2 linked regions of the Kluyveromyces lactis genome follow. The protein of the gene in region 1 purifies or fractionates together with the protein of each later gene. This does not show direct contact. Links are inferred from orthologs where the notes say so. Each region holds a gene or a part of one and is shown in the gene's direction. Other genes may lie near its edges.

What was found. The genes of interacting proteins can lie anywhere in the genome.
Region 2: the proteins of SNU71 (region 1) and MUD1 purify together in Saccharomyces cerevisiae (affinity purification with mass spectrometry; 9 studies listed by BioGRID, with this or other methods). This does not show direct contact. The link is inferred for Kluyveromyces lactis from reciprocal best matches to the Saccharomyces cerevisiae genes SNU71 and MUD1.

What each region holds. Positions count from the first base shown.
Region 1 is NC_006039.1:1,599,325-1,602,611, reverse strand, and holds SNU71 (Snu71p), read left to right. Parts: upstream 1-937; coding exon 938-2,644; downstream 2,645-3,287. Other genes in the region: MCY1 (putative cysteine synthase), read left to right, coding at 1-783. UniProt on the Saccharomyces cerevisiae protein: Component of the U1 snRNP particle, which recognizes and binds the 5'-splice site of pre-mRNA. Together with other non-snRNP factors, U1 snRNP forms the spliceosomal commitment complex, that targets pre-mRNA to the splicing pathway.
Region 2 is NC_006038.1:785,617-788,071, reverse strand, and holds MUD1 (Mud1p), read left to right. Parts: upstream 1-1,032; coding exon 1,033-1,950; downstream 1,951-2,455. Other genes in the region: TEF2 (translation elongation factor EF-1 alpha), read left to right, coding at 1-575; CBP6 (Cbp6p), read right to left, coding at 2,194-2,455. UniProt on the Saccharomyces cerevisiae protein: Involved in nuclear mRNA splicing. The principal role of the U1A is to help fold or maintain U1 RNA in an active configuration. It is the first snRNP to interact with pre-mRNA.

The sequences.
Region 1 (3,287 bases):
AACGCGTTGGGTTACTCATGCCATATCTCGCTACCGGACGATACAAGCCAAGAGAAACTTTCTCTTTTAACTGCACTTGGTGCAATAGTGAACAAGGTAAAACCTGCTAGTATAGTGGATCCGAACCAATACGTAAATGCAGCTAAGTCGTGTTCAGAAGAGTACACTGAGGGTGTTGGTGTATTTGCAGATCAATTCGAGAACGAGGCCAATTGGAAATGCCATTACGAAACGACAGGACCTGAAATTTATCTACAATTAAATGGGGAAGTGGATGCATTCATCACGGGATGCGGTACTGGTGGTACCATGGCCGGTGTTTCTCGTTATCTAAAGGAGAAAAGAGGTGACAAAGTACATATTGTGTTGGCTGATCCGCAAGGCTCGGGTTTCTACAATAGAATCAAATACGGTGTCATGTACGATAACGTAGAGAAAGAAGGAACAAGAAGAAGACATCAAGTGGACACATTAGTGGAAGGAATTGGTCTTAACAGAATTACAAACAACTTTCTGAAAGCGGAAAATTATATAGATGATTCCATCAGAATTACAGACGAGGAAGCTATTAAGATGGCCAAATTCTTATGTGTAAATGACGGATTATTCGTTGGTGCCAGTACTGCAATCAATGCAGTCGCAGTGCTGAAATATGCGGAAAACTTACCGAAGGGTTCAAATGTTTGCATCATTGCATGTGACAGTGGCTCTAGACATTTAAGCAAGTTCTGGAAAGAGGCCCTGCAGGTGAGTAACGATCTTTCAATTTCAGATATCATATAAATAACGTACAGTGTGTTTAACTTTGGTCTTTTGTAAATATCAATTAATTGGAAAAATCTTGAAATATATATATCGAGAGAGTAGACGTAAAGTTTCAGCGATGAGTTAGCAAATAAACGCTGATACTACTAGGCCGAACGTGTTTAACTCACTAATGGATACTGTATTGTTTGTGTCGCCCACATTATACTGCTGTGGAGACACGAAGAACTGGCAATCACAGGTGCCGAAGCCAGGATATGTGCCGATTTTGAAGAGTGATATCCCCAAATTTGAACAGTCGTTGAAACAAGCCAACAGCCATAGAGACCATGATAAAGGGAATTCAGTAGCCTCGAAGACTAATGAAACGGACAATTCTGATGAATTCAAGACTTCAACTTCACGCTATGTTGATTTGAAGTCCTTTTTACCAATTTCGTTAGAACAACAGTTGCATACCGTTTGTTTAGCACATTTTCCACTGGGACTTGGATCCAAGGGTATTGATAAAGTTATGGACAGACTAGACAATCTAATACGGAAAAAGCTGCAAGTTGAAGATAATGAGACCAAATTTATCAAACAATGGAGTTACGTCGATTGTGTGAATACGTTGACGGTATATATAAGTTTCCAGGAAAGTATAGTGGAAGAATATGGGAAAGCGATACAGTTACTTGAGAAATTGTTTGACAACGGGTCAGATGGGATCGGACTTCACATGGATGAAAACACTAGACGGTTCGTTTGCGATCTGACGGAAGGTTCTCCTGCTAAGGAACTCGATGAAACTGCAAAAGATGAGTTCTCCGCATTAATTACAATGTTGAGATCTGAACCAGGCTCTATATCTCAGGAGAAAGGGTTGGCTGGAAATAGTGCCGTTGAGTATAACGTGGATATAAGTACGTTGAGTGACCTTCCGAGTTCCTCATTAGACCAATTGTGTAAGGATATTGTTGAGTTTAGAACTCGTGTCATTACGTTAGAGAAAGAGAAACGGAATAAAGAGCTAGCGGAGGAAGAAAAACGGAGGAAACAAAACTTGAAGCATATATTTGACCGTATCAAGGTTACTAATGGAGGCTCGGAAAAAGGTTCAGCCCCTGAAGCTGAAAGTGACTCTGAAGATTCAGACGACGAGGTTGAGGGTTACGATGATGAAGATGCGGACGATTACGAAGCGGAAAAAAAAAGAGTTCAAGCGGAAAGAGATGCGCAAGAAGCCCAGTATGAATCCATGGTTCATAGTTTCCAAGATTCGTTACTGGTCCAATACTCATCGCTACGACAAGAATACCAAAGGTTACAAAACTACGAAACGCATTTACAAAAGAACAAAGGTCCTATGTTAAAAGAGTTATTACATCTTGCCATGGATCCTTACCACGACCATCACAGGCCATACAAGGAATCTGAATCCAAGGCAGATGAAGAGGACCGTAAACGGGAATCTGAAGAAGTACCAAAGAAAAAAGCAACAGAAACAGAGCCAGAGACAGAACTAGAGCTAGAGCTAGAGCCAGAGACAGAGACAGAGACAAAATTGGTATCGGACGCAGATGCGACAACGGCTGCACCAAAGATTAAATTAGCACTAAAGAAATCCATTGGAAAGACAAAGAATGAGATAGAAGAGGAAGAGACTCCTGAAACCGATGCGTTCCAACAGAAGTTGAATCTACTAAGGGAAAGCGGCGTAGTGGAAGAACTCGTCAAAGAATACTTGGGAGTTTACGAGCCCGACTTAGTCTCATATATCTTTGAAAACATCGAAGAACATCAATCGAAACAGGCACTCGAGACTGAGCTTACAGAGACGTTCGACGAAGATAGCCCTGTCCTAGTGAGCCGTATATGGGAAGCGATGGAACAGTAGTGGAATATACCATACATGTGAATATACATATATATGTATATGTAGGTATGTGTGTCACATGTCTAATAATGAGATTCTATTACCCGGTTACGTCTCACGTGACTGTCACGAAATTTTTTCGCCCGATTCGAGTGTTCCAGCCAGATCGGGCGGTAACATGAGGTTACTAGAGGTCCGGGTAATCGTGTTTCATATTGATTCGCGTTTTGTATATCGTATATAGCGATACATTCTCAACTTCACCAATTTTTTACCAGATCCAGAACGGTTACAGGAAGAATTGGCAGGATGAGATAAACAAAGGAACAAACATAGAGATTCTATTACTTGTAACTTATGTACACACCTGATAATGGTGGAATTTAGTTTCTGTTTTCGTTCGGGTTGCTTTAGGCAAAAGATAATAAGTTTTTAGATTCGAGATTTATCGTCAGGGTCAAACTTTTCAACAAAGAACGTTACCAGTGGTAATATTTTGGTGTATACATCTTTCTTTTCTTTGTGTTCCTCCATTCATTCATTTATTGATTCATCTCAAATTACTTATAAGTTTTTTATACATTTGATAAGAAGGATCTATTAGAGGTTTTTAATAAAGAAAGATTATCAGAACTGACCTACTGATCCAAATTACCTTCCAATC
Region 2 (2,455 bases), on another chromosome or scaffold:
GTGTTATCAAGCCAGGTATGATTGTTACCTTCGCCCCAGCCGGTGTTACTACTGAAGTTAAGTCCGTCGAAATGCACCACGAACAATTGGAAGAAGGTCTACCAGGTGACAACGTCGGTTTCAACGTCAAGAACGTTTCCGTTAAGGAAATCAGAAGAGGTAACGTCTGTGGTGACTCCAAGAACGATCCACCAAAGGCTGCTGCTTCTTTCAACGCCACTGTTATCGTCTTGAACCATCCAGGTCAAATCTCTGCTGGTTACTCTCCAGTTTTGGATTGTCACACTGCTCACATTGCTTGTAAGTTCGACGAATTGTTGGAAAAGAACGACAGAAGATCCGGTAAGAAGTTGGAAGACTCTCCAAAGTTCTTGAAGTCCGGTGATGCTGCTTTGGTTAAGTTCGTTCCATCTAAGCCAATGTGTGTTGAAGCCTTCTCTGACTACCCACCTCTAGGTAGATTCGCTGTCAGAGACATGAGACAAACCGTCGCTGTCGGTGTTATCAAGTCCGTTGACAAGACTGACAAGGCCGGTAAGGTCACCAAGGCCGCTGTCAAGGCTGGTAAGAAATAAGTTTAACTTGATACTACTAGATTTTTTCTCTTCATTTATAAAATTTTTGGTTATAATTGAAGCTTTAGAAGTATGAAAAAATCCTTTTTTTTCATTCTTTGCAACCAAAATAAGAAGCTTCTTTTATTCATTGAAATGATGAATATAAACCTAACAAAAGAAAAAGACTCGAATATCAAACATTAAAAAAAAATAAAAGAGGTTATCTGTTTTCCCATTTAGTTGGAGTTTGCATTTTCTAATAGATAGAACTCTCAATTAATGTGGATTTAGTTTCTCTGTTCGTTTTTTTTTGTTTTGTTCTCACTGTATTTACATTTCTATTTAGTATTTAGTTATTCATATAATCTTAACTTAACGTAACAACAACTTTCATTGTCAACAAATTTACTAATACTAATACGTATGGACTATTTGTTAATAGGTTGTGATATCCTTCTCTATTAGGTTATTACACATGCCATACAAAGCTAGTATCTATCGGCAAGCAATGGTCAGTACCTTATATCTGTCGAATCTACCGTCGAGGCCCGACTCATTGTCCAAATTCAGAGCCTTACTACTATCAAGTGTTAATTCAGATCATCGTTCTATTTCAAATGATGTTAGTACAAGATTCGATCTGAACTCGAAGAAAGAAACTAGTGAGGCTGATGCGGTTACACCAGTACTCGATGAAAAGTATCAGATCATAGAGGTATCAAGGTATGGCTCAAGACCCTTGAGGAGGTCTTGTTTCGTCACTTTTAAGGACTCAGACAGTTGTAATACGTTCCTTATAGAATTTCAAGGCAAGCTCAAGATTAATGGGAGAAAGATAAATATAAAGCTGGCGAATACGGATTCTTTCGCAGCTTTGTACTACCAGGGACAACAGAAACAGCTACAGGATGAACTTCGGTTACGTACACGTAAAGCTGTGGATAATTCACAGCCCAAGACCAAGACAAAAAACGAAGTGTTGAAAAGAAGGTTAAGAAGAGCTAGAAGTAAGCTTAGAAAGAAGGATTTGGACGAAGAAACCATACAGAAGCTTCTTTCAAAGCCCAGAAAAACAAATCCTGAAGGTACCAACAAGACTGCTATGTCACAGCAGTCGGAGAAAGTTTCCTCCACTAAAAAAGTCTTTGACATTGTCGGAAATCCCCCTCACCATGTCCTATTGGTTCAAAATCTTCCAAAAGATGTTACTCAGCAAGAATTGGAAAAGTTATTTGTCTCAGATGGATTTAAAGAGGTTAGATTGGTCAGTGTCAGAAATCTTTGCTTTGTTGAATATGATTCTACAGCAAATGCCACTAAAGTTGTTGAAACCTTAGGTCATGATCATCCATTCAAGAATGTAACGATAAAGATTGGATACGCCAAGAAATGATTCTACATTTCAATGCGAATCAATAAATTCAAAGCGTTCACAGGTCGGAACTGGAACCAACAATCTACGCTTTAATAGTACATTTATCAGCAACAGATAAACAGAATAAATAGAATAGATTGAATATAAATTATTTACAGTCAGTGTATGGAGGCCTGTACAGTACAGATACACTAGAAACGAAAAAGACAGAAATGATATATACATATATGCATACGAAGCTCTAAAACCCTGAAACCGAAATTACTTACCAAATACGACAGTTCTCATAGCTGTAAAGAAAGTTTCCTTACCCTTACCTTCGATTTCGTCATGCAATCTTTTGTAATAAATTGGGTTACCTGCTGGCTTGTATAATTTGTCCCCTACAGCATAATAATTCTTATATTTATCGCTCATTATAGCATTCAACGATCTTATCTGTTCTTGGATTTGAGTATCGTTGAAATGTTCTTCTGGTAAAGCCTCTTGAACTTTCTTTAATAGATCTTTCTTCAAACCTAAT